Linked DNA regions of Caenorhabditis elegans. The protein of the gene in region 1 purifies or fractionates together with the protein of each later gene. This does not show direct contact. Each region holds a gene or a part of one and is shown on either strand. Other genes may lie near its edges.

Evidence for each region.
Region 2: the proteins of F09B12.3 (region 1) and got-2.2 fractionate together in Caenorhabditis elegans (co-fractionation; one large-scale study listed by BioGRID). This does not show direct contact.
Region 3: the proteins of F09B12.3 (region 1) and gta-1 fractionate together in Caenorhabditis elegans (co-fractionation; one large-scale study listed by BioGRID). This does not show direct contact.
Region 4: the proteins of F09B12.3 (region 1) and alh-1 fractionate together in Caenorhabditis elegans (co-fractionation; one large-scale study listed by BioGRID). This does not show direct contact.

The regions. Positions count from the first base shown.
Region 1 is NC_003284.9:15,092,851-15,100,517, reverse strand, and holds F09B12.3 (Putative phospholipase B-like 2), read left to right. Parts: upstream 1-2,563; coding exon 2,564-2,666; intron 2,667-2,736; coding exon 2,737-2,853; intron 2,854-2,901; coding exon 2,902-2,962; intron 2,963-3,281; coding exon 3,282-3,826; intron 3,827-3,875; coding exon 3,876-3,970; intron 3,971-4,014; coding exon 4,015-4,271; intron 4,272-4,314; coding exon 4,315-4,699; intron 4,700-4,743; coding exon 4,744-4,842; intron 4,843-4,998; coding exon 4,999-5,085; 3' UTR 5,086-5,175; downstream 5,176-7,667. Other genes in the region: dhhc-1 (Palmitoyltransferase), read left to right, coding at 113-196, 673-896, 971-1,023, 1,080-1,155, 1,392-1,677, 2,166-2,330; F09B12.7 (Movement protein), read left to right, coding at 5,569-5,584, 6,652-6,728, 6,784-6,855; Serine/threonine-protein kinase flr-4, read right to left, coding at 7,143-7,329. UniProt on the Caenorhabditis elegans protein: Putative phospholipase.
Region 2 is NC_003284.9:6,239,263-6,246,026, forward strand, and holds got-2.2 (Aspartate aminotransferase), read left to right. Parts: upstream 1-1,720; 5' UTR 1,721-1,741; coding exon 1,742-1,997; intron 1,998-2,047; coding exon 2,048-2,596; intron 2,597-2,814; coding exon 2,815-3,254; 3' UTR 3,255-3,447; downstream 3,448-6,764.
Region 3 is NC_003282.8:10,176,978-10,185,352, forward strand, and holds gta-1 (putative 4-aminobutyrate aminotransferase, mitochondrial), read left to right. Parts: upstream 1-3,682; 5' UTR 3,683-3,690; coding exon 3,691-3,730; intron 3,731-4,186; coding exon 4,187-4,296; intron 4,297-4,980; coding exon 4,981-5,050; intron 5,051-5,092; coding exon 5,093-5,190; intron 5,191-5,514; coding exon 5,515-5,853; intron 5,854-5,900; coding exon 5,901-6,563; intron 6,564-6,648; coding exon 6,649-6,780; 3' UTR 6,781-6,962; downstream 6,963-8,375. Other genes in the region: rack-1 (Small ribosomal subunit protein RACK1), read left to right, coding at 1-79, 123-270, 323-853; mspn-1 (Mitochondrial sorting homolog), read left to right, coding at 993-1,127, 1,171-1,291, 1,337-1,511, 1,566-2,007, 2,809-2,964; ptrg-1 (Tyrosine-protein phosphatase 4), read right to left, coding at 6,973-7,032, 7,083-7,216, 7,407-7,875, 7,927-8,073, 8,126-8,261, 8,312-8,375.
Region 4 is NC_003281.10:5,074,709-5,082,772, forward strand, and holds alh-1 (Aldehyde dehydrogenase domain-containing protein), read left to right. Parts: upstream 1-3,056; 5' UTR 3,057-3,057; coding exon 3,058-3,150; intron 3,151-3,862; coding exon 3,863-3,991; exon of another isoform or gene 3,992-4,038; coding exon 4,039-4,235; intron 4,236-4,576; coding exon 4,577-4,854; intron 4,855-4,900; coding exon 4,901-5,647; intron 5,648-5,708; coding exon 5,709-5,797; 3' UTR 5,798-5,953; downstream 5,954-8,064. Other genes in the region: Inactive tau-tubulin kinase ttbk-6, read left to right, coding at 260-607, 653-972, 1,019-1,106, 1,150-1,260; cox-6A (Cytochrome c oxidase subunit 6A, mitochondrial), read left to right, coding at 7,027-7,162, 7,230-7,381, 8,051-8,064.

The DNA.
Region 1 (7,667 bases):
TTTTTGTTTTATCAGCACCTCCGTTTTGCTCACTTTCTTCTTACTTCAACTTTACATTTCATTCAAATTTTCTCCTTATTTAATTTTTGCTATTTTTCAGAATAAAATAAAAATGCAGATGTTATATGACGACGGTGAGAATGTCGATTTTAACAAAAAGCTACAAAGGATGATGCCAACGCAAATTCAGGATATTGTGAGTTATTTTTTAAAATATGTAAAAAATAATTGTTGAGCAAGGTGAATGGAAATTAAATCTTAGGAAAAAAAAAGAATGTAAGAAAAATTACCAATTACTATAGAATAGGCTCAATTTTTATTAGTCAATTTAAGGAAGAAAAAAGCTCCGCTGAACATATAATACAATAACTTTTTTCTGAAATTTTTTTATTTATTAATTGAATGCCAGCTCAACATCTCAATTTTCTAAAGCTGTAATAAAGTTATTGAGTTTTTTTACAAAAACCAAAAGTTGAATAAAGTTCATGAAATAAACTTTTTTTTTGGCAATACCAATTTCGAATTTCCACAAAAAAAACTTCAAATCCAGCTTCATCATCCCATTCACGGTACCCAAATTCGTAACTTTCAGCCAGGCTTATAGAAATAAAAAAAACCAAGATGAGTATTGTCGTAGAATGCTTTAAAACTCATCAGTTATCCAAATTACAGATTGCCACATTCATTTTTCTGATACTTCTCCCGTGTGGAATCCTGCTCCATCTCCTCTACGTCCTTCCAACCTGGTATCCAGTTATGGGAGAAGCATGGGTCATTCGTGCAACGTGTTTTGGTGTACTGGTGTTCAACTTATATTCAAACTGGGTGTACATGATTAAGACGGGCCCAAATGGACATCATTCTGCTCTCCCAAATGTCATCAAACCCGGATACAAGTGAGTTTTAACTATTATATATAAGTATTAAGCTAGATTTTATAAATAATAAAAGCCAATTTTGAAAATTTCAGACACTGCCACAGTTGTCATTCCATGTCTCCACTAAGAGCTCATCACTGTCCAGGTAAGTACAGTGAAAATATACTTTTTTCAAATGACGAAAAAAACACTTTTTTTCAGTTTGTGACGTGTGCATCCTTCGCCGTGACCACCATTGTTCGTTCGGGGCAGTTTGCGTCGGGCATTTTAATCAGAGGTTTGTCTTATATGAATTTTACTAGCAATTGAAGAATGTTCTAAATTATATAATGAAAAATAAAAATAGTTGTAAAATTTCCACCGCAATTAGTCACTTTTCTGTCACTTTCAAAAGCAAAGCTTGACAGAAAATTATGGCGAGATGCTGAGTAAAGTCACGATACTATAATATTAGACCAACAGTATACATAATTAATATTACTGCAAATTAAAACGTTTATTCACAATATTCAGATACTTTGTCGCCGCAGTCATCAACCTCTTCATTATGACTCTGCCACTAGTCTCCTACTCATGGAGCCTTCTCAATATCAAAATGACGAACGAAATCGGCTTCGGAAACATTTGGCAAGTGGTCATTCCCCATCTTGCCTGGATCGCCGGATACATCTCAATCTACCAATTCCTCCACGTCCTTCTATTTGTCTTCACCTTCACCGTTTCGCTGTTCACTTTTTACCTGCTGACTGCTCAAGTTTTCTGCATTTATCAGGGACAGACAAGAATCGAGTTTTTGATGGTGAGCTATATGTACAATTGAAAATAATTTTTAAATGTTTTAAATTATTATAGCAGAAAATAATAGATCAAATGGTGACGATTTTTGTAATACTGTTTCACTTTATGGGGTTATTCAAGTAATGTCGGAAAATTAAAAAGTGTAGAACAATTACGTCACAACTGTATTCAAGTATACACCTTTTACCTTTTTTAAAAACATGTATTTAGATACATTTGTGACGTCACAAATGTATTTAAATACATTTTGATACATTACTTGAATAACCCCATTAGCTCGAATGTATCGAATCTAGATTTTACTGCTTTTAATATTTTGCTCAAACATCAAATTCGGCCGGCATCTCGAATGTCGCATAACATTTTTCTTTTCTTCCAATACAAAAATTTTTTCGATATCTTTCTGCCTAGAAGACTTCCGTTTGGTCTGTGAGGAAGTCACCTTAACTGCAACATAAAATCTCAAACAAATATAAATCCAATTTTCAGGACGTTCACGCATACCAGCTCGGACTCCTTGAAAACCTCCACCAATCGCTCGGCTCCCGGTGGCCATTCATTGCCATTTCTTGCTTCATCCCAAGTCCTCTGCCAACTGATGGACTCGGCTTTGTCACTCGCGAGATGTTCAATCTTCATACCAAAGATCTCTAAATTTCACAATTCTCAACTCGAATTTAACCACGTGTGCTCCATCTTTCTCCCGTTCTCCTTCCTACTACAAGTCCAAAAAGAAAGTGCTTTGAAATTGATTTGAATAAAAGTTTAAAAGTTTTTTTCAGCCTATGATTTTGTTAAATTCTTGTCCAGGTCTCCTCAATTTTTCGACGCCGATCGCCAATCTAAAATCAAAATGATAAGAGCATATTAATGAAACATAGAGAAAGATGACAAGACTGATAAGAAGTAAGAAACAATTTTTGATAAGAAGCTTACACTCGGTATTCTACTACCTCGGCAGTTTGCTCCACAGCACATTCGAGATGAATGGTAAGTCCTAAATTAATTATTTAAATTTTAAAATTTTAAAATTTCTAATTATTAACTTTTAATATTTCAGTGTTTATTGGCTTACTGCTAGCCACTGTTGTAGCTTCTCAAAGCTCGGAAGGACGCGATGAGAGCTACACTTACAAGCAACTTTGCATAGTGGACGATAAGCCTCAAGTTCTTGATGGTAAGTTTTATACTGAGGATTTTCTATTTAGTTGGTATAATTTGACAGGATTCGACTGCCGCAACCAAGTTGCTGTCGCCAGATGGCAAAACGCTGTGAACACAACTGGGTCAGTTTGAACAAGTCTAAAGTGTAGATTGTTTGAAGAGGAGACCAGTGATCAGAAAAATTGTCAGCTATCTAACCAAGATCTTATCAGTAATTTCTTTTTGGGTATTTGTATAGAACTTGCTTCATTAGGGGAGAGGGACTGATATGCGATAAAGTTTTAAATATTTTTAAAATTTAATTTTAAACTAAATGGTCTTCACAAAATTATAAACAAAATTAATGGCATAAATATACATAATCTGAATAGATTTTCATTTTTCAAATATTTAAAACTTTAGTACTAATGAGTTTTCCAACTTAACCTTCTCAATTTCTAGCTGGACTTTCCTGGAAGTCGAAACCAAGGAGAACTACTGCCCACAACTTCAAGCCTACTCTGCTGGATATCTTGAAGGACTACTTTCCAAGACAGTGCTCACCTACCATCTCAAGAATGCTCAGGAAGATTATTGCAAGAACTTCACTGGATATTGTTCCAGACTCTCAGACTTCCTCACTGAGAACCAAAAATGGATTCAAAGCAGTTTGGAGACCGTCGCCCCGGATGATCTCTACTGGGGAGCTGTCAACAGAACCTACCACCAAGTTTCTGGACTTATTGATGCCTATGAAGGACGCGAGTTCAAGCCAAGAATTACCTACGAGCTTCACCCGATTCTCTATTTGAACTTGAACGGAGATTTCTATGATTTGGAGAAGAAATTGAACAAGACCAGAGATCCAGCTTTTGAGCAAACCGGTGGAAAGTGCTCCGGATTGATCAAGGTCGCTCCAGGAAATGCAGATCTTTTCATCTCTCAAGTAACAATGTCAGGATTCCAAAATATGCTCAGAGTTATTAAGCTTTACAAGTTTGGATATGGTTTGTAGAAGAAGGTTTTTTCAAACAAGAAAAAAAATTGATTTTTCAGACCGTCAGTTCTACCCAGGATACGCTTCATCCTTCTCCTCGTACCCAGGTCTTTTGTACTCATCAGACGACTTTGCACTTCAAACTTCTGGATTGGCATGTTTACATCAAAATTTGCAATTCTTATCACCCCATTTCAGGCTGTCATCGAAACCACTATCAGTGTCTTCAACACTTCTCTTTTCGAGAATACAAAGCCAGTCGGCCAACTTCCAACATGGATCCGAGCTATTGTCTCCAACCAACTTGCTCGTGACGCTAGAGAATGGTGCAAACTCTACTCTTTGTACAACTCCGGAACCTACAATAACCAATGGGCAGTTCTTGACTACAAGAAGTTCAAGCCAAATCAGCCACTTCCAAAGAATGGACTTTTCTACGTCTTGGAACAAATGCCGTAAGTGTACCGGAAACAATAACACTGAACAGTATATTTTCAGTGGAAAGATTGTTTACTCCGATCTGACCTGGTTCGTCGAGAAGTACTCGTATTTCCCGTCCTACAACATTCCATTCTTCAAGGAGATCACTGAAATTTCCGGATTTATCGGACAAGCCGCTAAGATGGGAGACTGGTTCAAATGGGGAGCATCTCCCAGAGCAAAGATCTTTGAAAGAGATCATGGCAATGTTCACGACTTGGATTCGCTCACTGCTCTCATGAGATACAACGACTATAAGAATGATGAATTCTCCAAGTGCAAGTGCAACCCACCATACTCTGCTGAAGCTGGCATTTCTGCTCGTGGAGATTTGAATCCAGCTAATGGAACATACGAGTTCCCAGGACAAGGACACGTTAACCACGGAGCTCTTGATTACAAGGTATACAGTGTTGGAAAATGTCGAAGGCAATTCGTATTTTATAGGGTACAAATGTTGAGTTGATGAAGAAGTTGCAATTTGTCGCACAAGGAGGGCCAACATGGGGCAAGGTTCCATCTTTCAAGTGGTCTGAGTTTGACTTTGTAAGTTTTGAGAGTTTTAAGTATTGCATCAAGATTCAATAATCATCAAGATGTTTGGCCACCACATTTTTGCAAACAAATGGTGCAAACAATCCTAAGAGCTGTTTTTGTTTTTTTTTGTCAGAAATGACGTTTCTGTAATGGTTTTTTTTCCAGAAAGACAAGGTCAACCACGTCGGACACCCAGACGAATGGAAGTTCAACACATTGGTGCACAAATGGGAAACTGAAATCAATGCTTAAAATCGTCATATCACTCTTACATTAATTGATGAATTAACTCTCATTTGCCTTCATTTTTCACATAGTTGTTACTAAAGTATTGTTTGTTCTAATTCAAATACGTGACATTCCGATCAAAACCGAAACCGATTCACTGGAATTCCGCCCACGACGAGTCAGAACGCGCGAATACTCATTTGAAAGACTGCTCAATATAGGACAGACGTTTTTTTCTTGTCATATTTGTTTGTGCTCTCCCTCTTCTTGCTCAGACTCTGCCGACTCTTTAGATGTCATGTTAGTTGCCAACAAGTACGGTAGTGAAGAGAGACAAGTCATCACAAACCGAGATACGCAGGTTGTCCATATTGACATTTGATTCATTCGACTCTGGGAGATCCTTCTCCGCCCCTCTTAAAATAAAGCGACTGGCTATCATTTTGGTTTCGTATTCTACACAGAACTAAGGTAGCACCTGCACTTTTGTTCTATAGTTTGTTAATAATGAATAGACCTTCTGGTAAGTCGTAAACGTGAAGATAAACAAATTATGTTAATTTTTTCCGTTTAGTGACTATAAAAATATCAAAATTGGAGTACCGCTAAAATGGCCAAACATCATAGTAAAAGGTTTCAAAAAGTTTTGAAATGATATATTATGATATTTTATATTTTTAACACCGTAGAAACAGTTTTATTCGTCGTTTTTTACGTCGTCGTACTCCGCATTTGAAAATTAAAATGTGCTTCGCGTTTTTTGCGTGACCCATCCAAATATATTCCTTTTGTTCAAAAAACCATTTCATTTTACAAAAATAGTTTCATCATTTTTTGCAACTTTTTTTCTACACTTTTAAGGCTCAAACGTGGTTTTAAATTTTTTTGCTCACAGAACAAATTTGTCAGAACAAAATTTTTTATAGTTTGATTTTCGGAGCATTTGTTTCAAATTCAACAATACTAAACATACACAGTTTGATATTTGATGCTATTTGATTATTTAACAAGTGGTTAGATTGAGATTTATTTGCCTTTGATCAGATTAATCGTAAGTGATCTTTTACGCGAAAGAGTAAAAATCGTAATTTGTGTCGAATTGAAATTTAAAAAAAGGCAACAAAAATTCTTCTTTATTAAAAAAGATCTTGTTTGGACTTACTAGTATAGTCTCTATCGTGTCGCACCTTAAAGGTGGAGTACCGAAGTTTGAGACAAAATTTTAAGCGGGCAAAACTTTTTTGAGAAATTTTCAGAACGTCTCATTACGAAATTTGGTAGTTTTGGACCATTTTGGGTCTAAAAAAAGCAAGTCTCAAATTTCGGTATCCTACCTTTGAAATATTTTCTAAAAATTAGTGCTGCCGTCTCTGCTAGTACTGGATTTGAAAAGAGCCCGGAAATTAGTGTTGCCTGCAGTAATGGGAGAACTATTCTAGATGAATAAAATTAAATATAAAATTTTTTAAATTGATCACATTTGTGGTTATCCACAATTCCATTTTTTAACTTTCAAGTTTGAAATGAAGCCACTAATTGATTTTTTTAGTATTTATTAATTAAATTTTAAATAGTCAGAACTAGTTTCAGGTTATGACGTGGACACTGAAAAACGAACTGTTGGTCTTCGAAATTTAGAAGAACGGATTTTTGTATTACTTTTAGCGGTAAGTACCAAAGCACAACATGCGTCTTCTTTTATCGTTTCAACTAATTGTTCAGCTTGTCGGAGTCGCATTTGGAGGTTACGTCATTTACTTGATGTACAATAGCGTCACTATCAGTGAAAGATGATCAGACGAGTCGGGAGGTTTCAACGGGTATATAATTCTTGAGTAATTGTTTTATGATTTTTTTTAAATTTTAACATTGTAATAAAGAAGTTTCATTTCTGAGAACTTGTTGTACAAAAAACGAGAATCAGAGTTTGAGTGAATTCATATCGATACATAAATATATTGGAATAAGGTGACATGGAAAAAATGATGATTTTTGTGAAAAACATGGAAGTTCCTGAAGTGAAATTATGTAGAATCGTGATCTAGCAATGTTTTGCATCATTAAATTAGTTTAATATTTTCCTAGTTTTCTTCATTTGCTGGTCCAGACGACTCGTCGTAGTAATAATCATCATGGTTCCTTCTGACAGAGGGTGTTAGATGTATTTCTTCCTCCATGTTCTGAGCAGTGTCTTTGGCATCTTCTTTACCAGTTATCACAGTTATGCCGCATAGGACTGCTGACTTTTGGGGGCGGGGTAAGTAGAATCTGTAATCGAGAAAATCGACAAAGAACCATAATTTTGCCGATTGCAAAAACTCTTTAAGTATGAATTGTCAACTTTTTTAACCTTGGTAAAACTAGGTCTCTTAGCTAAGTGAGGCGGAAAATGCGGGCCTCATGACGGCCTTTAGCCGCGCGCTTAAGTCCTGTGTGTGTGTGCAGCGAAATGCGCAACGTAGTTGTCTGAAAGCGGCCGACACGTTCGGGGTTCCGCGCCGCACTATAAATGAGGTGTGGGTAAAGCCATGCGAAGCCAGCACATGCGTCGTTGCGACGACCTCATTGAAGCCTTAGGTAAAACTATGTTTACCGCACATTCCTAT
Region 2 (6,764 bases), 8.9 Mb from region 1:
TTCATATTTATCGCAAAAATCATTTTGCACTCAAATCGAGAGAAAAATTGAGAGAAACAAAGGACTCAAAATGTTTACGGATGTCCACGTGAAAGTCACACAAATGTTGAACAATTTGTAAATTTGTAACACAAAGTGAATTACACAAAATTCGGGCGACAATCTAAAAGTAATTTTCAAAAAACTCTATCTGAACACTACAGGTTAGTGTGACGTGTGCTAGGTTTTGTTTATCAGAATTGAATGTATTGAAGTTTGCTCACAAGAGGTAATCCAAAATGATAACACTATACTCACAGGCAGTTCAGTTGTAAACGTTTTTGTTTCCAGATGTTAGAAAAATTTTTTAAACCATCTTACAATTTACATTTTATTTTATCGACCGTGGATGCGCTATAATTTCCGACAAGCAATTCAACAAAAAATAAAAATTATACCTTAGTTAAAGATTATAGAAAACTGGTTGCTTTATCTGAAAATCATTTTCCTTTTATTTGGAACAATCGAAAAAAAAACTCAAAAATTGTCCTAATCTTTGAAAATGACGGGAAAAAACTCCAACACTTTGGTGGATTCCTTTCCAGAATATATCCGAAATTCTTCACACAATTTTGAGCGGTTTTCCAAACGTCCAAACGTTAATATAAAAACCATTTTTCATTAACTTTTTTCTATGTTTTATATTTTTTCTGTACTTTAAATTTATTTTTTTTTGCTATCCCAAATTCAATTTTTGAAGTAAGACACCATCTTGAATTTTAAGACTTCCAATATCCGTGTGCCACCAGCACTTTTGACCTACCAACCTGTGTTCTCCGGCCGCGCGCGGACAATATCGAACCTTTGAGAGTGACGAACCACAACAACAACCAAATTTTTTTTCATTTATCTTGTTGGCCTCAGTTTTTCCTTGCCTTTTTACAGTCATTAGTCGCTTTTTTTCCGTTCATCAAAAATTCTTTGAGATTTTTTTTTGCGAACACGGTGCTGCTAATAGAAAAGTTTAAAAAATTATATTATTTAAACAAATAATTTCACGACCGAAGTACGGCGATTTTCTTATATTTTTTTTCGAACGCAGTTTACTTACTGTTTACCAGTTCTCGAGCGCCGAGTTACACAAAAACGACTGAATCGTCGAACCGCATGTTTCTCACGTTGCCGCGGCCGCCCGAGTTTTCCTCTGCCACCCTACACTCTCTCGAATCTCCGTACTCTCTAACCTAGTTTCTCCAGTTCTTCTCACTTGTCGTCTTCCTTGCCAGTTCGTGGACTGGGATAAGATGAGCAGACGCGTCCATTCTTTCATAGGCGGTGCAGTCGGTCCATTTTGTTGTTTCACATCAGTTGTTTTTGATAGAGTCAATAAGTTTAACTACAATTTTAGCCTAGTTTGATGCCACGCCGTTGCTAAAGGCTAGAAATGTGGTTAGTACCCTGAATGGAGTGTCCTAGGGTATCTTTTTTGAATTTAAAAAAAGTGTCCAATCAGCCCATTCAAACACCATTGAACACTCAAATAATTGTCCTGGTAAAGATAATGATACCCACGTTTTATTTTATTTTTGTTTCTTCGGATAAGGAATCATGCGTTGTACGTACTCTAGTCTTCCCTGCTATCAATGTTTCGTTGCTTCATTCTAATCGGAACGTGATTTCCACGCCTACTTTCAAAACGTCTTTTAAGTTCCCACTCGAAACATTAATATTGAATATTCAGGTAATCTTTCTCCAATCAACAATGAGCGTTTCCAAGAAGCTTTTCTCTACCGCCGTGCGAGGAAAGTCGTGGTGGTCGCATGTTGAGATGGGACCACCAGATGCGATTCTTGGAGTCACCGAGGCCTTCAAAGCCGATTCAAACCCAAAGAAGATCAACCTTGGAGTCGGAGCTTACCGTGACGATCAAGGAAAGCCATTTGTTCTCCCATCGGTCAAGGAAGCTGAACGTCAAGTGATCGCTGCCAATCTTGATAAGGAGTACGCCGGAATTGTTGGTGAGTGTTATAAACTTATTGATCCATTTGAACTCTTTATTTGTTTGCAGGACTTCCCGAGTTCACCAAGCTCTCTGCTCAACTCGCTCTTGGAGAGAACTCTGATGTGATCAAGAACAAGAGAATCTTCACCACTCAGAGCATTTCTGGAACTGGAGCCCTTAGAATCGGATCTGAGTTCCTTTCTAAGTACGCCAAGACCAAGGTTATCTACCAGCCAACACCAACTTGGGGAAACCATGTTCCAATCTTCAAATTTGCCGGAGTCGATGTCAAGCAATACCGCTATTATGACAAGTCCACCTGTGGTTTTGATGAAACTGGAGCACTCGCTGACATTGCTCAAATCCCGGAAGGATCCACAATCTTGCTTCACGCTTGTGCTCACAACCCAACTGGAGTTGATCCATCCCGTGACCAGTGGAAGAAGATCTCCGACATTGTGAAGAAACGCAACTTGTTTGTCTTCTTCGATATGGCTTACCAAGGTTTCGCTTCCGGAGATGTTGACAATGACGCGTTCGCTGTTCGTTACTTTGTCGAGCAAGGACACAACATTGTTCTCTCTCAATCCTTTGCCAAGAACATGGGACTTTATGGTGAGTTTACATACTAATTTGTTAAATTTGAATTTTACAAGCTGGAGTTCAATACGAAATGTATTGTTTTTGTGCAATAGAGCGCAGTTTCTTCTTGGTGTTGGAAGTTAGGCCATGATAACGCGGATATCACTGGTGTCGCATTATCCTATCTTTTCTACCCTTTTGTAGCCCTAACCCTGAATACTGCATAATTTTTATAATTTATTCTGTTTAAGGTGAACGAGTCGGTGCTTTCTCCGTTGTTACCTCGGACGCTGATGAGGCTGCTCGTGTTGCTTCTCAAGTCAAGATCCTTATTCGCCCACTCTACTCCAACCCACCAGTCCATGGAGCTCGCATTGCTTCCCGCATCCTCGCGGATCCAGCTCTCAACAAGCAATGGCTCGGAGATGTCAAGCTCATGGCTGATCGTATCATCACCATGAGAACTACGCTCAAGGATTTGCTCGCCAAGGAGGGATCTACTCGTAATTGGGAGCACATTACCAACCAAATTGGAATGTTCTGCTTTACTGGAATCAACCCACAACAAGTTGAGAAGCTTATCAAGGAACACTCTGTCTACCTCACCAAGGACGGACGTATCTCGGTGGCGGGAATTTCATCGAACAATGTCGCTTACCTTGCCCACGCTCTCCACCAAGTCACCAAGTAAATCAGTGACAAATGCACTCTTCCCATTTTAACTTATTCTATCTGTCATAATAGAATAATTTTCTCGTTTTCGGTTTTCTTATTCTCCGGTTGTAGAATGGCAGTATGCTTTATCTCATTTTTATTTGTAGCCTGTTTTTTTTCTGAGAATGGGAACTTTTAATAAATTGGGTTTCGACCTTAATCTTTACTGGAGTTGGTTATTGAAAAATGATATGCACGATATTTGTTTAGCAATTACGTTAATTCAATTATTCGATTCTGAAACGTTGTGTTTCTAACTGTTTTGAAAGAAATATAATTGTCAGTTTTCTGAAAACGAAAAATTAAAAAAAATTAATATCACTTTCAAATTTAAATTTATTTAGTTGGAAGTGTGCTTACAATGAATGGTATAACACGCACATATTTTGAGTTCTCTGAAACCATAAGATTTTCGAGGAAAAAGACAAAGTATTTTTATAAAATCAAATTATGTTAAATACATTAGAGAGTTAAATACATAATTATTTAACAAAATTTTCAGAAACTTTTCGACTTCAGATAAACGCATCGGTGTGGTTTTCTGAAACATGGGCGTAGAGTTCTGGTATTTAATTCTGCAAATTCAAGTCACGGTCATGGGTCAAAATAAATTGGTTAGAAAATCTATTTTTTTTTCAAAAATTATTTCAGCTTGTTTTCAAAATGCCTTATAAAAACTGAAACCAAAGATTACAAAATCATACCTGGACAGAACTCAAACTAGCCGTGAATTTTCAGATGGTATTTAGCTCGTCGCAAATCAACAACTTACTTCCAGTCAACTGCTCAAATAATATATACGAAATTGGTTCCAGTAGATTTCAAGACGATAAGTGGGATAAGCTGAGAAAATGGGCAAGCCTCGCGCAATGAATTTTCAGAGTCCAGTACTTCCTACGTTAATGGATCCTCCATTATATCTCAACTCGAAGTTGTTAATGAGCGCATCTATATCGGCCGCCGAATCAAGCCGACAACCATCCAATGGCGGGCCTCTACCGATGACGCCAAGCAGCTTGGGCTGCATAATTAAATTAAAAAAAAAAAAAACAAAAAGCATAATTTGAGAAAACAGGTTCCCTCAGTAACAAGAAAATCTGTTTGATTCTATTTGATTCCTCCAGTTCTTGCTGCATTCAAAAGTCCCAAAAAGGCTTCGGTGAAACATTTCCGAATGGGCAAAAATTACGCTGGTCTATCAAGACTGTAAAACTTTAGACTGCAGCCTGAAGCTTGAGGCATATACATTAAAACCTGAGTTTGATGTTCTAAGACTATGAACATCTCAGGCGGTATTGGGGATTTATATTTGAGAGATAAGCTTGAAGACACAACTTGACGAAAACAAGTTCATTGCCATGTTTAGACATATTCAGTTGAACAACACCCAGCCTGCCGTGTGAAAATAAAAATTACCATGAATGATTTTTATAATACTATCTTGTTTCCGATGACGATATTAAAGAAAACGTGTTGATAATTTACAAATCACTCGTGCAAACTGTGCTCACAATTACCTGAACATTCACTTGTATTTTTTTGGAAGCATCAACTTTGGTCGTTTATGCAGTTTTACAATAATGAGCATAATAATAACCGAACTAATGATTTTTCATAAATAATTCATGGGTGAGCATGGGTGATCTACCAGATTTGAATAACTATACTTCAATTTAAAACGTTCTTCAACCGATCCCCTATTTTTGTAAATCGAGAGTATTTTTCACCGTTGGTCAGTTTGTTTGTTTTTGATGCGAATTGCTGCTCCTTTGTTTTCTTTTTCTTTACAGAAACTGCAGTCCCGTTTGAAATTCAAAATCCCCCATATTGTCTCATAGAACAATGGGAGTTTTTTTTTCTGCAAAATTTGTTATCTGACGTGTACCAAATATCCAAGCGTAAATCATCAATTCAATTGAATTCAGGATTACGAAAGTGATGTACAGTTATTTGAGCAGCTTCACTTATTTACTGCTCGGCTCATTGACTCATGTTTTTTGACGACACACACATCAATCGTTTGGAGCTGTGTGCACACATTGTGGCTCGGTTTTTCCATTGTCGGTTTATGAAGCAAAAACGAAAAACCGGCAAAATAATAATCAACAGGCTGCTGTACAAATTATGAAATCAACACTTTCCGAAAATAGATCTCATAATTTCTGAATTGTATAGTACATCGGAGATCCATTGCAAGCCCGGAATAGATATGATTCAAATTATAGATACATTTTTCTGTATGAGTCCCTATTTTTGTACACAGTTCTGACGCATTTTCAATTTGTACAGCACTGGAAATGAATCATGGTGTTTCGAAATTATGTATCTGAACTAATAACTTTTAAAAAAATAGCAATAGTTCGGCGTTACCAAAGATGCTCAACTAGTTTTCCCATTTTGAAAGAACTTAGAAAGACTTAAGTCTCAACTGGAAAACTGTTAAAAAAATAATAGAGTATGGAAAATGTATAGATCATACAAAAAATTGAAATCAAAATATCTATAAAGATTACTACAAAATTTAGTCGAAGGTTTCAAGTACTCAATTTTTCAATTGGTACATCATCCCGAATAACGATGTGGGAAAATTTGTAAATTAACAAAGTAGTTTAAAATTAATTTGAAATGTTTTTACAGACTTCGTATTGCTGAATCTTCCAAAAACTTTCGAACAGAAGCATATTGTGTCAATTTTAGCTATCAAAGTAGCAAATTGATACAATACATTTTATTCCTTAATTAATTATAGCATAAGTTGGAGAGTTATTTCAGAATCATTTTCATCTACTTTTATGACCGTAAAATACTCATATTCCGCTCATAAAACTTAATAAAATATTGCATACATTTTGGGCTAGATACATTTACATTGTCTTTTTATGTCGTTTGTATTCATTTTTCCACCAATGATAACCAACCTTTGTTACATTTAGTTTCAAATATCTCATTAAAAATGAAAAAAAGACATAAAAAATAAAATTTTCATATGGAATGTAAAGCTTTCTAATCCCTTTTTCATTTCAATCCGACTTCAAATTATTTTATTCAAGAAGGAATAAATTAAGTTTGTTTAAGTTTTTTAATAATCCCTCATTTCCGAAAATATTCACCTGTTCTTTGCTGCAACCCACAAAGGTTTTTCTCATTAAAACACGTGAGCCAGCCTGAAAAGTCAACACTTATTGAGTGAGTCATTGCGTGGGAGTGGTCGCCAAGTTTCTCATCGGTTGATTATATGTTTTTCTATTCAGATAATGATTGAAATCTGTTGATAATAAAAATGTATACTTACATTCTGAGAATTCATGTTCGAAAATTTATTTAAACATGTTATTAGTTGGTTGACTTTCTGTCTGATGCAGTGTTTTGTGTTTTCTTTTCGAACAAAAAAACCAAATGAACTTTATTATTCTCAAAATATGTTTTTCTGGAAACTACATTTAGAACGAAAACATTTCAGACTCCATCCCAAAGCTTCACGACCTTT
Region 3 (8,375 bases), on another chromosome or scaffold:
ACGTTGTCATCTCCTCCGACGGACAATTCGCTCTTTCTGGATCCTGGGACAAGACCCTCCGCCTCTGGGACCTCAACCAGTAAGTAATTCAATAAAAAAACATTGTGCAAACAATTTTATAGGGGAGTGAGCACCCGTCAATTCATCTCCCACACCAAGGATGTTCTCTCTGTTGCCTTCTCTGCTGACAACAGACAAATCGTCTCTGGATCCCGCGACAAGTCCATCAAGCTGTGGAACACTCTTGCCCAGTGCAAGTACACCATCACTGTACGTTTTTTCAAATTCTTTTATAGGAAGATTTATCGAAACTATTGTTTAGGATGATTGCCACACCGATTGGGTTTCCACCGTTCGTTTCTCTCCATCGAACCGCGATCCAGTGATCGTCTCCGCAGGATGGGACAAGGTTGTCAAGGTCTGGAACCTCGGAAACTGCCGTCTGAAGACCAACCACATCGGTCACACCGGATACGTCAACACCGTTACCGTCTCTCCAGATGGTTCCCTCTGTGCTTCCGGAGGCAAAGACGGACAAGCTATGCTTTGGGACCTCAACGAGGGCAAGCACTTGTACACCCTTCCAGGAAACGACGTCATCAACGCCATGTCCTTCTCTCCAAACAGATACTGGCTCTGCGCCGCTGTCGGATCTTCCATCAAGATCTGGGATCTCGAGGACAAGAAGGAGATCGAGGAGCTCAAGCCAGAAATCGCCAGCTCTGGAAGCTCAAGAGGATCCAGCCCACAGTGTATCTCTTTGGCCTGGTCTCAAGACGGACAAACCCTCTTCGCCGGATACACCGATAACATCATCCGAGTGTACCAGGTGTCGATCCGTGCTTCCAACTAATTTGTTACCTGTTAATTCAAAACCCTTCAATAAAATTGTTGATATAATTTTGTATTCAACCATGTCAGATAAATTATTCGCGTTAATCAAGAATATCTAGCAGATGATAAAACAGCAAGGTATACTTGTTATGTTAGAGATGACGGATCGTAATGAGTTGATCGGTGTTGCAATTCGAGTAGTGGCGGCGGCTGCAGTTTCATTTCTATCAGTGCGCTATCTAGTCAAGTACTTGGATCCAAATTATAGTGTGAATGAAGAAAGCAAAAAGAAGGTTTGTAGATTTACAACACTAATTTTGTTTTTTTAATATACAGGTGGCACAGCTGTTTCATGAACTTGGTATCGATCGTCAAATAGAACTCTCAGAGCACGAAATTAGAATCGCCACGCAGTTTGTTGGCGGAGAAGACGTTGGAGCAGATTGGGATGAGATCGGTAGAACAGAAAATTGTTTCGCAAAAAAAAAGAAAAATTTTACAGGTGGCTGCGAAGAACTTGTTGCTGAACTAAAGGATCGCATTATTTTACCCTTGAGATTCGCATCGCAAAGTGGAAGTCATTTATTGTCTCCTCCACGTGGAATTCTTCTTTATGGACCACCCGGATGTGGAAAAACTCTTTTAGCGAAAGCAGTTGCAAGGGCAGCTGGATGCCGGTTAGTTATTCATAAATGCAGAATTGACCTGTTTTAAATATTGCTACCTTTCAGATTTATCAATCTTCAAGTGTCAAACCTAACTGATAAATGGTACGGAGAGTCTCAAAAACTTGCGGCCGCTGTTTTCTCTGTTGCTCAAAAGTTTCAACCAACAATTATTTTCATTGATGAAATTGATTCGTTCCTCCGAGACAGACAATCTCATGATCACGAATCAACAGCAATGATGAAGGCACAATTCATGACATTATGGGATGGATTTTCTAGTTCTGGAGATCAAATCATTGTTATGGGAGCTACAAATCGTCCACGAGACGTTGATGCTGCTATTCTACGCAGAATGACTGCAAGATTCCAAGTTCCAGTACCAAATGCCAAGCAAAGAAGTCAGATTCTTAATGTGATTCTCAGGAATGAAAAGATCAATAATACTGTAAATCTCGGAGAAATCGCACAGGCAGCAGAAGGTCTTAGTGGAAGTGATTTGAAAGAGGTTCGTGCTTTTTTTCTTTTTAAAATTTTAATCAAATATATTACATCCCCGAAATGGTCGTAATATTATTAGTTCGCTTTGTGGCTATATATGTCACATATATTCTAGTGGAATTCGGTAACGAAATATTTAATATAAATCTGTTCAACATGAAAAATTGTAGACAATAATATATCTTGGATTTCCTATAAAATCCAATACATTTTTAACATGAATTAATAGTGAAACAGCAAATAAGTATATGTGTTTTTATTGAAAACTACGAAAACTCGATTAAACTTTTGCAACAACGAGAGTTTGAAATTACAGTACTCTTTAAAGGTACACACCTTTTCATAGTTAACATAAAATTTCGTGTCGAGAATATTTGGGGCAGAAATCGCAAAGTTTTGCGAGCTTCATGAGAATAAATTGCTGTTTCACAATTAATTCATGTTTCTAATGTGAAAAATGCATTGGATTTTAAAGGAAAAATGTAATTTGTAATATGATAAAATGTAATATAATTGTCTACAGTAACCTTAAAGGAAAAAAAAATACAAATAAAAACATTAGTGAAGAGAATTGTATATATTTAATACAAGTTGTTCTAATAGTGAGCTTGAAAAAACTTACAATTTTGAATTTAATTTTAAAAAAACTCATTTAAATTATTTCAACTTCTTCCAAAATCATCTAAAAATATTTAGAAGTTAGATACACAATAATTAGCTTAAAAAATAATACGCGTTCGAAAATTTTAAGTTTTTATGTTACAGGAAAATGAAACGCCAATAATCGTGTTGTTATGTAATTTTTCAGGTTTGTCGTCTTGCTCTTCTCGCTCGAGCAAAAGCTACTGTAGCTTCTGGAGGTTCCGTAAATCAACTTCTTCCATTGGAACAGTCCGATTTTGAGTCAGCAGTGCATAAATATATGAGAGCCGCACATTTACTTGTTGAAGAAACACTTGATTAGTCTTAAAAGTTCAAGAAACGAATGTTTTATTTCATGTAAACTTCTATTTCTTTTTCTCTAAAAGTAGTCCATTCGTTCTTGTAGGTCTCAATTTATTATACCTTTTTGTAGTATAAAGCTAAAGAAATGTAACGGTGCTTTGACTTAAAATCGAAAATCTTTTTTTTTATTCCCCGGAGCTTCTAGAACAGATTCAAAAACTAATATTTCTGATTCCTGATTTTTTACTTCCCTATTCTTATGTATTGCATTGATTTAATAAGTACGTTTAGATTACCGGTTAGATTGTATTCTCTTTTTCTCTTTTCTTTCACTTGTCGATATCTCCAGAATCTGAAGAAACAATAAATCGATCACGTGACCCCATCTCTTTGTGTCAGTTGTCCTTCCGATTACACCCTTCGTGCTCTGCGAGCCTTTTTCTTTGCACAACGTGGAGCAAGTTTACACCATTCACAGGCTCAATATAAACGTCTTCCATTGGCTTCCAATTTTTCAGTTTACTTCTTCAAACAATTTTCACTAGAAAACGCATTTATTTCCTTCACTAAAAAACATAAGCTCCTCCCCCTGCCTTTCTCTGCGTCTCGTTTGACGCCTAAAAAGAGAAAACGGGAGAAAAAATTATTCGGTTTTCTCCTGCCACTTCAAATTTTACTCTTCTTTCTCTTTGTTTTTTTCAAATCGATTTTCGAATAATTTGAATAGTTTTTTTCAGAAGGAAGAATGCTTCCCAGACTGGCAAAGTCATCTTTAATCCAACAGGGTAAACCAATTAATATATTTTGGATTCAACTGGGATTTATTTAGGAAATAATTTAACATATAATTTTTGATTTTGAAAAACCTAACCTGCAGCTTTTTAGTTCTTCTAGATACATTCATTTTCAACCCTTTTTACTTGCATCTTTGACCTAAAACACATTGAAAAAGAAACAAACAACACTTTTTTGATTCTCTTATCAGTTTATCAGTATCACAAACATTAACGAAGGCAATTGATTTTTCTCGAGTAAAACCGAATAGGGAAAAGATCAGAAAAACTGAACGATAAAATCGAAGTTTTGGTAAATTGGCAGGTATTTTGATATTCACCACATGTTTCAATTTGGAAGATTAAAAAAACAAAATTTTCTGAAATTTTAAAAAAATACTAAAACACTTCAACACCATGAGAATGTTTCCAAAAAATGCTCTGACTCAATTGAAACGTTTATTTTAGTGCGTGGAGTTTCGGCGATTGCAAATGCCGAGCCATCTGGACCTAGTATTTCAACGAGCATTCCTGGACCAAAGTCAAAGGCGTTGAAACAGGAAATGGATAAAGTTCATGTAAGAATTGAGATATCGAAAGTTAAATGGTTTTTTTAAACATCATGGACCTTAAAATACCTTCAAATTGTGATAACTTATTTTTTATATCTATTCTAAATCTTATACGCTCATTATGTATTGGTTTTAGTTTTTGACAATTATTCAGTGGCGAAATCGCTTGAAATTACTTTTCAAACAAAAACTTTGGCTGAACTTTCTGACAACTTGCTCAACAGAAGCTCAACATTGTCAATTTGATTCTAAATTATTAAGAATTATAAGATAGATAAATTATAATTTTAGATTACAAAACATTATTAGCTATTTAATGGTCACACAATTGCGAAGAATTTCGAGCCATTCAGTTCAATTTTCAAATCAAAAACCAACATCTCAACTCCGTAATTACATGAACATCACATTCTTACCCTTATCACAGAACGAATGAAATTCGTCTCAGAAATATTACACTTTCTCTGGTCAACTGACAACTGACATTCAGGAGTTTTGATTATTTGATTTTAGTTTTTTTAATTTCAAATCTTCAATTTCATTGATAATACAAAAAATAAAATAATATTTCAAGGAAATTTAAATTTTATACATATTGTCAAAAATACTGTAGTTATGAAACATATGAATCATTCCAAATGCAATATGAGATTTCAAAATTTTATAAAAATTAAAAAAATTTTTTTTCAGCAAACTACATCCGTTCGTTTCCATGTCGACTACGAGAAATCATTCGGAAATTACGTTGTAGATGCTGATGGTTAGTTTTTATTTTCAGTTTACACACCAGGATTTAATTTAGGAAATGCACTTCTCGATGTCTATACTCAAATATCATCTCTTCCTTTGGGATACAATCATCCAGATTTGGTTAAGGTCGCTTCGCAGCCACATTTGATTGTGAGTTTTTATAAATTGATTTCAAAATCAATTTTTGAACCTCTTACAATCAATTGGAGCATTCGAACTTAGCCTTCCATGTACGCATGAAAATGTTTTACGCCGCATCCGCATTCAGGCACAAATACAGAAATTAGGCGGTAGGCAGTCAGGCAGGCAGGAGGAAGGCACATAATGACCATATTTTCACATTAACCGTACACCTAGAAACCAGTAAAAAATTAAATATTAAGTGATTTGCCTGTCTGTAATATTTGGATAAAACTAAAGAAAACAAGATACTTACTGAAAAGTTGAGAAATGTATTAGAAAATAAATTTTCAGACATCTCTTGTTTCTCGTCCAGCTCTTGGATCCTTCCCACGTACCGACTTTGCTGATGGAATTTCTCATGCTCTTACATCAATTGCTCCAAAAGGATTGAAGGCAGTTCAAACAATGCTTTGCGGTACATCGGCCAACGAGAATGCAATCAAAACTGCATTTATCTGGTATCAAGCTCAGAGAAGAGGAGGTCTTGGACCAGATGCTCTTCATTTGGAAAGCTGCATGAATCAACAGAAACCAGGAACTCCAAATCTTTCAGTTATGGGATTTGAAGGAGCTTTCCATGGAAGATCTTTGTGCATGTTGTCGGTTACCAGAAGTAAGCCAATTCATAAGGTATTTCAAAGTTTTATTTCGAAACAATTCTAATTAATTATTTTCAGGTTGATATTCCAGCATTTGACTGGCCAATTGCCAAGTTCCCCCGTTATAAGTATCCACTTGACCAGAATGTTGCATACAATAAGAAGCAAGATCAGGAGTGTCTTGCTGACGTTGAAGCGAAGATTTCCGAATGGAAACGTCGTGATAATGATGTAGCTGCAATTATTGTTGAACCAATTCAAGCAGAAGGTGGAGATCATTATGGAAGTCCAGCATTCTTCCAAGGCCTCCGTGATATTACTTCTAAACATGGAATTGTATTCATTGTTGATGAAGTTCAAACTGGAGGTGGAGCAACTGGAGATATCTGGGCTCATGATCACTGGAACTTGAGCTCTCCACCAGATATGGTCACATTCTCAAAGAAACTTTTGACAGGAGGATACTTCTACGGAGAACATCTCCGAGTTAAGGAGGCTTACCGTATTTACAACACATGGATGGGAGATCCGACCAAGCTTCTTCTTTTGGAAAAGGCTGTTGAGGTTATTAAGAGAGATGGATTGATTGAGCAGAGCAGAGAAGTTGGAGCTGAATTCCAAAAGAGACTTGGAGAACTTCAAGCATCGTCTGGAGGAAAGTTGGATCAAGCCAGAGGAAGAGGAACTTTTGCCGCCGTTGACTTCCCATCTGGATCTTTGAGAGACAAATTTGTTGACTTGGTAAGCAGAATTAATAGTGATAAATGTCAAATTCAGCCATCTTACATTTATATATTAAATTTCTTAAACTTCAATTTAATTTTAGGCCATCAGCAACGGACTTCACTGTGGAGGATGTGGAGACCGTTCACTTCGTTTCCGTCCATCACTCGTCTACACCAAAAAACATTTGGATCTGACTTTCGATCTTCTCGACAAGACTTTGAAGGGATTGTAATCATTTTTTCTTTTGTTTTCTCTTTAAAGCTGTATCCATTTTATTTGCTTCGCTGACCATCTAGCTTGTTATTATTTCAAAATATAATTAATAAATTAAATATTCATTTATAATGACACCGGAAATTGATTTTTTATTGTTTCTTCTCGGGAAGTTATACTTCGGATCGATTCCAATTGAATTTATAAATTTTTAGACACGTGTTCCTCCGACTAGCTGTGACATCTTTTCATAGATTATCTCGATTTCTTGCTGAAAACAAAATAATTTGGTATTGGAAAATGAGATAATTCGATTTTCACCTTCGAGGCAAAAATACCACACTGAATTTCGGTATACGATGAAAGAACCTGTACCACGTCAACACAACCCGTTGTCTCCAGTTGACACGCTAAAGTTGTGGCTGCACAAATACTGAATGCAAGTGCTGTATCATCTGAATATTCATCAATTTTGTTATAAATATAATATAATTAAAGTTTAAAGTATTTACAGATCATAGTATGTACGTTTCTACGCACACTACCATTTTTAAACTAGAACCAAAGGGGTTTTTATAAACTCCAAATTTGTGTTACAAAATTTTTTTGAACCAAAAATATTGATAGATATCAAGCTATACTCACCATTAAACAAAATAGAAAGTGATAATGTAGAAGTACTATCTGTTGGTGATGGAACACTTGGTGGGTATTTATGAGCCAGAATAAGCAATGGAGCATCATGATAAGTGATCCTCTGTTTTTGAACATTTTCAATTTCCCTCCAAAAATCAGTATCCAAATCTGCTCTTGACACATTCACAATTCGAACACACAGTTGTTGATCATCTTTTTGGAGCAGGACAAAGTTATCTCCGTGTTGAAGTTGAATTTCACCATCGTATATACAACTGGGAAGTTTTCTCCAAAACGAGTCTCGTTGGTTTAGAATCACAATTGTTTGAACTTTTTGTTGCCATGTTAATCTCCAAAGATCTTCACATTCATTACCCCATGATCCGACCATGAATTCATCAGATCTATGGTATCCTGGGAGTGTTATGACGTCTGATTCAATTAGACATCGAGGTTGATGTTTGCAATCACAGATATCCTTGAATAAATACTAAAGTTGAGAGGAGTTAGAAAAATATCTAATACAAACCTCAAATTGCAACTGCATTCTTGTTTTTCCGTTCAAATTTTCTTCGGATAAGTAATGCAGGTATCTCATAAAAAGGTCTGAATGAACTCGTGTGATTCCGTGACGAATCAATTGCCGGATAGCTTCGTGGCAGAAAATATATTGCTCCTGAAATCAGAAGTTTTGATACTAAGATTTCAAAGAAAGTAGATATTCTTACCAAAGTCTGCACCAATTTCGCTCTTTGTCTTCTCATATGTGTCAAATGTCCTTGAACATTGAGTCTTCGGAAACTAATCAAATGCCTTCTCATGCTATCAACAAGGATATATGAACCAGATCTACCAACTCCGGCGCTGAAAATATAAAATTAAAACTAAAATTCTCGGATTTCAGAATAACATACCTGCAATGAACTACAACGGGTCCGGTGGAATGAATATCGGAAGTGTAATGAACAAAGCTTAAAA
Region 4 (8,064 bases), on another chromosome or scaffold:
ATTGATATCACGAAGACGTCTAAAGATTATAATTTTTGTCACATCTTATACGCAAAGATCTTATACCCCTTAATCTTATACCCCGAGAGCAGCAAATTACTGTAACGAGGCACCACAAAAATGAGAACTGCGAGAAGGAGAACTTCGAAAGGGAGAGCAGTAACTCGTTGTCTCAACCTTTGCGCGTAAGATATGGCCAAATCCTTATCTTAAGACGACTACGTATCAGCTGAGCAAGAAACGTATCTGAAAATTTCAGGATCATGTCCTGAAGAAGCTGAATGCCAACGGACCAGCTCCGCACATCCCAAACTTAAACTTATATGGAAAAAAGATGAATTTCTCCTATATGGTCATGACGTTATTGGGGAGAAATCTCCAAGACCTGGAATCAACGAATTTTGTTGTGAACAAAGGATTTTCACGTGGAACATGGAGCCGTGTTGGAATTCAATGGGTTTATGCATTGAAATATGTGCACTACAATGGATTCATCCATCGTAATGTGAATACACAAAACTTATTTTTGGGAAATGAGAAGGATAGTGAAAGAGCAAAAATCATTCACATCTTGGATTTTGGTCTTGGAAGACCTTTCGCTCGTTATGTAAGTTAAGCATTAAAACTTCATAGTATTTACAAATAATTTCAGCATGCCCGAGAGAATAAATGGATTGTACGTATAGCTCGTCATTCTGCAGAGTTTCGTGGGAGTTTTCGTTACGCGTCTCCGAATGTCCATCTCCGTAAAGAGCAAGGACGAGTTGACGATGTATGGTCACTGCCCTACGTCATCATTGAGCTCAACGGCGGAAAGGCACTCCCATGGCAAACCGATTATCGACGCGGACGTGTGGAGCAAATGAAGCTGAACTTGACGCCAAAGGATGTCATGTCTGATATGCCAGCTTGTATGGATAAATTGATGCCTCATTTGGCTTCCCTCAATTACTACCAAAGACCGGATGATCAGTGAGTTTTCTATATTTCCTATCCATTTATACGATTTAAATTTCAGCATGATCTTCAAGTGTTTCTGGCAAGTCATGGAGAACGAGAAGATCACTCCAAGTTCAAAGTTCGACTGGGAAAATGAGGAGCCTGATGTAAGAATTTCCTTTGAGTTCTCAGAATAATTCATTCTTCCAGATGTCTGTTCCACCTGCAGCTTGGGAGAATCCAGACGGACGCTACTTCCAATCCAATCCTCTTGAAATCAACGGCCCACCTACTCCAGCCGAAGTGGATTTTGTTCTTTAAAAGTGGGAAGAAGCTTGAAAACTAGAGATATATGAGATTTGAATAAAGGACTAGAAAATGATTTTGTTTTGCTAAATTAACAAAAACTATGAATCCTCAACTACAGTTGGCTCCTCCTAATAGTTCATCATCTTAGAGCTAATGAAGTTCTGGCGTCCAATATCTTTTGGCAGATTTCAAAAAAAAAAACGAACATAGATCTTTCGGATTCTAAGTTTAACTGGAAGAATTAACACATTTGTTCACTTCAAGATTCATCTGGTTTCATTGTTGACAACATGAACCTTCGAAATTGTTGGTTAAAGTTTAACATTAATTTTGTTTACAGCTCCAATAGTCTCTTATGGAAAACAAAATTTAATATTCTATCCTACAGTCCTTTCTTTTCAACTGTTATTTAACATTTATGAATCATGTTCCATTATGACCTAAGACATATTGTGGCCTATACAAATTGTGACCTATGACATATTATCATTACTTTCAAACAATAATCTTCAAGCGACCCGTGCTTCTCATGCTTGTGAAATGCTGAAATGCTTTTTTATTCAACTGTATGACATTTTTCAAACATGTGCAGAGAAACTTGAATGCTTTCATTTTCTCAAAAGATTCCCACGGCTGACGATTTTTTTCTTGAAGCCCGAAGCCTAATTGATATGATAAAAAAAACTTCAGATTTTCGTTACATTCGTCCTTTTTTTCTTGTTACTTCATTAAGCCAAGTGTTGACTTTGTAACTGCTTTCTCTGGAGTAGAGTTTCTAAAGGTTCGTAGTGTCTCGCCACCAAGCGCGCTCTGTTGAGCAAGGGCACCGCGCCAGTTTCGAAGTTTCTTTCTATTTTAAAAACATTTTTAGCTCTTTTTTTCGGATTTTCTCGCAGTTTGAGAATATTTTCCTGAATGTTTATCTTCCGTTTGAATTAAGATCGCGTTTCCTCTCAGAATTAAGTTATATCTGTCAATAAAAACAAATCTCAGCTGAAATGCTTGCACGTTTGTTTATTTTCTGCTGGTTTTAGGCAGGACTAACGATGAATCTTGTTGTTAACCACTCTGTTTATATTTGATAATTCTTAATTTTGTAGTTGATTTCTGCTGAAACTATTCCTGTCTCTGTCGTTCAATCTTTCCAAAGTTTTTCATTTATCATCATTTCCAAAGATCCCATCTCGACATGGAAATATTAAATGGTCAAGGGTTAAATCATGTTGTGCAATACTTGACTATTCTTCAGGACTCCAAAAAATTCTCATTATTTTGTGCTGGTTCTATTCGAGCACGTGCTTCTTCATCTTTTTGTTTTCGAAGATGTTTCGTTGAAGTATATTTGTGTGTGCAGTTCTCTGCATCTCCGCCTTTTTGACTCCTCCTCTGTCACTTTTCAACCATCGCTCAGTGTTCTCTTATCTATTTCGACCCTAACCATCGAGGCTGGCGTGTTTGTCCATTCTTTTCATATCTAATCTTTAGTTTTCTCTATTTTGTTTAGAGTTGAATTTTTGGAAGAAGATTAGTTAATCGATTTTGAATAATTTTGTCAGAAGTCTCTGCAATACTGATATTCACTTTTTGCCACAGTTTTTAGATATACTGATTCGATGTTTCCGAATTACCACTGGAACTAGTTTATTTTCTATTTAATTAAAATTTAAAATGTTCTATGAAGAAACGAGCTGCTGTGAACTCACAATATCTAACCTCATTCACCTGTAAATTTTTATTTTGCGTCCTCTTTCTAATTTCTTTAAAATCTTGCCTTATTCGGGTAAATCCTTTATAATTTTTATTTTCAGAATGCTCCGTTCAGCTCTCCGGGCAACAGTTCAGGCACGAAATGCCTCCGGTGTTCCACCAGGTCTTTCCAACATGAAACCACAATACACCGGCGTAAGTTTCTCAGAACGTTGTTTTAAAAAAATTGCAAAAAAGATAGGAATCACACAGGATAACCTTGAAAATGGAGACAATGTTGAGAGAGACTCTAATTTGAATTTTGAAAGAAAAAATTACGGAGCCCATTGGATCGCCAATTTCTAAAAACGTTGATTTTCAAGTAATTTGTGTTTAAAGAAAAAGAAAACAAAAGTGGAAATTGTGCATCGAATCTTATTGGTTTTTCTCAAAAATCCGTATTTTCCGCGAAATTCAAAGTTACAAGAACATCACATTACGTGCGCTTTGAAACCGCCGTTATCAGAAACTGCAACAGAAACCAAAAAGATGAATTTGAACCTTTTGATCTGTTTTTCTGCTGCAAAAATGTTCTCTTCTCATGTTTTCATTACATTATTTCAACGGAACCACGTGCCCTCAACGTTGTGCTCTGTTGTGTACCTAGTACACAGAGTACGATCAATTTAAAATGATGATAATAAAAAGAAAAAGAAGAGAGCTGATACTATCTCATAGGGAAAACGTGGTCGCCTGAGGTGGAGAACGAAATGAACAATGAACTCGGTCAACAGTGAGATAGGGCAATCAAAACTGAACGATGATCGGATTTGAGAAAATAAACTTAGAGGGCAGAATTAGGACGAAATGTGATACTTCTCCAAATCAGGGATTCAAATTTCAAAAAAGTTTATATCTAAATTTCCAGATCTTCATCAACAATGAATTTGTGCCAGCCAAGTCTGGAAAGACTTTTGAGACTATCAATCCAGCCAACGGAAAAGTTTTGGCTCAAGTCGCAGAAGGAGATAAAACAGATGTCAATATCGCTGTCAAGGTTTAAATCTAAATTCGAATTTTAAAGCAATCTTCAAACTTTTCTAGGCTGCTCAAAATGCATTCCGTATCGGCAGTGAGTGGAGACGAATGGATGCTTCTCAACGTGGAGTTCTTCTGAATAGACTAGCTGATTTAATGGAGAGAGATCGAGTTATTTTGGCATCTTTGGAATCTTTGGATAATGGAAAGCCATATGCAGTTGCTTACAATGCTGATCTGCCACTTTCTATCAAGACTCTTCGGTGAGTTCGAATAGCATAAATTGGAGAATTTTGCTGTAAAAAAATCCCAAAATAGTCTGTAATTAAGAAGAAAACTCAGAAAAAACGAAAAACTTTACTGCCAAATGAGCAAAGAGATCTACAAAAATAATTTCGAATTCTCAATTTTATGAGAGAAAAAAATCGAAAAACAAAAATTTTTGATTGTCCGGACAACCGTAAATCAAAAAAAACTGTTTAGAAAATTAACAGCCAAAAAATGCAATTTTTTGAATCAAATTTTGTTTGTATTGATGAGAAAAATTAAAATTTATTGTAAAAAAAGGAAAAATGGCTAACATTAAAAAATAACTTTATTACAGTTATTACGCCGGATGGGCTGACAAGAATCACGGAAAGACTATTCCAATCGAGGGTGACTACTTCACTTACACTCGTCACGAACCGGTGGGAGTCTGCGGACAGATTATTCCATGGAACTTCCCACTTCTTATGCAAGCTTGGAAACTTGGACCAGCGTTGGCTATGGGAAACACAGTCGTTATGAAGGTCGCCGAACAGACTCCACTTTCAGCCCTTCACGTGGCTGCTCTCACAAAAGAAGCTGGATTCCCAGATGGAGTGGTTAATATCATTCCAGGTCAGTTTTGTAAAAATTGTGAGTTTCTCAAATAAATAAATTCCAGGATACGGACATACTGCCGGACAAGCTATTTCGTCGCACATGGATGTTGACAAAGTCGCTTTTACTGGATCAACTGAAGTTGGAAGACTTGTTATGAAGGCTGCTGCAGAATCGAATGTCAAGAAGGTCACTTTGGAACTCGGAGGAAAATCACCAAACATCATTTTCGCTGACGCTGATCTCAATGATTCCGTTCATCAAGCCAACCACGGACTCTTCTTCAATCAAGGACAGTGCTGTTGTGCCGGATCCAGAACATTTGTCGAAGGAAAGATCTATGATGATTTCGTAGCTCGTTCCAAGGAATTGGCCGAGAAGGCTGTTATCGGAGATCCATTTGATTTGAAAACTACTCAAGGACCACAAGTTGACGGAAAGCAGGTTGAGACTATTTTAAAATATATCGCTGCTGGAAAGAAGGATGGAGCTCAATTGGTGACTGGAGGAGCCAAACACGGAGATCAAGGACACTTTGTGAAGCCAACTATCTTCGCTAATGTTAAGGATCAGATGACTATTGCTCAAGAAGAAATCTTTGGACCTGTTATGACTATCATTAGATTCGACACAATGGAAGAATTAGTTGAAAAGGCTAATAACACTATTTATGGATTGGCTGCTGGAGTTATGACTAAGGATATTGATAAGGCACTTCATATTGCCAACGCAACCAGAGCTGGATCTGTCTGGGTTAATTGTTACGATGTGTTCGATGCTGCTGCTCCATTCGGAGGATTCAAGCAGTCCGGTAAGCTAATTTATTATTAAAATTTCTCCATGCCAAAGTTAAAAAATACTTTTTCTTTTAGGAATCGGTCGCGAACTCGGAGAATATGGTCTTGAGGCATACACTGAAGTAAAGACTGTCACCATCAAGGTTCCACAGAAGAACTCATAAATTTCTTGAATTTTCGCTTTCCCTGTAATTTTTGTTCCTTTTGCTTTTTTTTTTGAAAAATGTTTATTGCTCTTAATATACGTGTTGTATTTATCTATTTTTCACATATATTGAAAAAGAATTCTGAAAGAAATAGACACCTACAGGACGACTCATAAAAGTCTCGACTTCTTTGTGAATTGATTGATTCAGGACAAACGAATTATTACTCTGTACATTAGAGGATCAGTCGTAAAATCTTCAAAAGGCAAAAATTTTACGAGCTTCCGGTAGGTTACGCGAAATTTTAAAAAAAATTTGGAACGCTTCACGAATTTGCGTGTCATCCTTGCGCAGGGGCCATGCTAATCTTCTCTGTATTGTTCCAATTTTAGTATATGTTCTCGGAAGAACGAGACAGCCAGGACCAGTTGTTGCTTATATAGTGGCCACCTGCAAGGCGGCAGACATCTCGTGGGTTCCGCAATTCTCCGTCAAGCAACTCAAAAAGGGCAAGAATCGAACCAAAACTTGATACTTATTTCCGTCAATAACTTTTTAGCCAATGAATCGATATTAATAATTTTTTATGTGTTCGTTCTACATGTCATGTTTTAACAGGTAACAAAGTTTCAGAAAATTTGAAGCATTTCTAACGGAGATAATAGGCAAATTAGACAGCATGTTGCAGCACAATTATTTCACACACCTTAAAGGCGCACGCCATTTCACCGGCTGGTCTCGCAGCGAAGACGGCCTCTCCGTTATTTTCTCTTGAGGAAACGTGCGTTTCTGTGGTTTTACTTCACAAACAGTGCTTTTATTGATTATTTTTGAGTTTCAAATGATTAAATTACAAATTATGAATTTTTTAACCACAATAGCATATAAACCGCAGCCGTAAATCGATATTGTTCGACTAGAAATTCCACTTTTTCGAATTCAAATCTGCAAGTGTTCAACCATGTCATTCAATCATTATTGTCGGGTTTAAATTTCTAAAATTCTTCATAGCAATTATTAGGTTTCTTAAGACGTAAGAAAAACCTCATTTGTTTTTATTTTGTGAGTTTGTTTTATTGCTTTTTCTGATTTAAAAATCACAATTTTGTACTTTTTCATCAAATCACCTGATTTTTCTCTTTTTTTCTCAATTTTCACGTAAACAAGTTTGTTCCCCCTCCTTCTCCCCCCGCGTTCCGTTTTTCTCACAAATCTCAACTTCATTTCAAATTTTAAAGGTATCCGACATGAACCGTCTCGCTCAACCAGCTACCCGCTCGGTCGTCAAGACCTTCCAACGCAAATCCTCAGGATCATTTTACGGATCCAACAATGTCGAAGGATTCAAAGAGTCATATGTCACTCCACTCAAGCAAGCTCACAGTAAGTGTTTTTTTTTAAAATAAATAGTTTCTATTTTGATGTTCAAAGATTAAAATATATTTTTCAGATGCTAGCGAGACCTGGAAGAAAATCTTCTTCATTGCTTCGATTCCATGCTTGGCTCTTACCATGTATGCCGCCTTCAAGGATCACAAAAAACACATGAGCCACGAACGCCCAGAGCACGTCGAGTACGCCTTCTTGAACGTTCGCAACAAGGTAAAATATTCGTTTTTATCTTGAAATCTGCCATAGTTTAAAATTTTACTTAAAAAATGTTATTTAGCTTTCATGTCTTCCTCATTAAAGAAGTTATCGGCAAACTGTTTAAAAATGTCATCTTTCTGGCATTTTTCAAACTAAAAAGGATGACTGTGAAGTTTAATAATATTCAAAACGAATTAAAAAAAAAACAGTCGCTTTTTTGGAATTTTAATTTCTACAATCAAGCTTTTAAATGATTATACAATTTTATAATTTGGCGTTTTCTCAGTAATTAAAAAAAACGATTGGTCTCAATAAATTCCCAAGATGGTTAAAAATTTCAAAAAAAGAGTAAGAAAAATTTTAGCTAAATCTCCAATTTAGCCAACATGTTCTAGTTGCAGCTGCTGGAATACAGTTTTATTGAATTATTGTTTTGGTCTATCAGACTAAAATTGACCTAAATCGACGGAATAACGTAAAATTAACAACCAAAACATGAAAAAAGGATGATAATAAAATAAATACTCATTTCCGACGTTTGCAACACAGAAAAGTTGACAAAATTAAAGATTTTAGCAAAAACTTTCCTACTTTTTTGCAATTTAGAATCGCCAACATTTTTTTCTTGAAAATCAATCAATCCATTCTGAAAATGCATTCCTAATAAATATTCAATTTCAGCCATTCCCATGGTC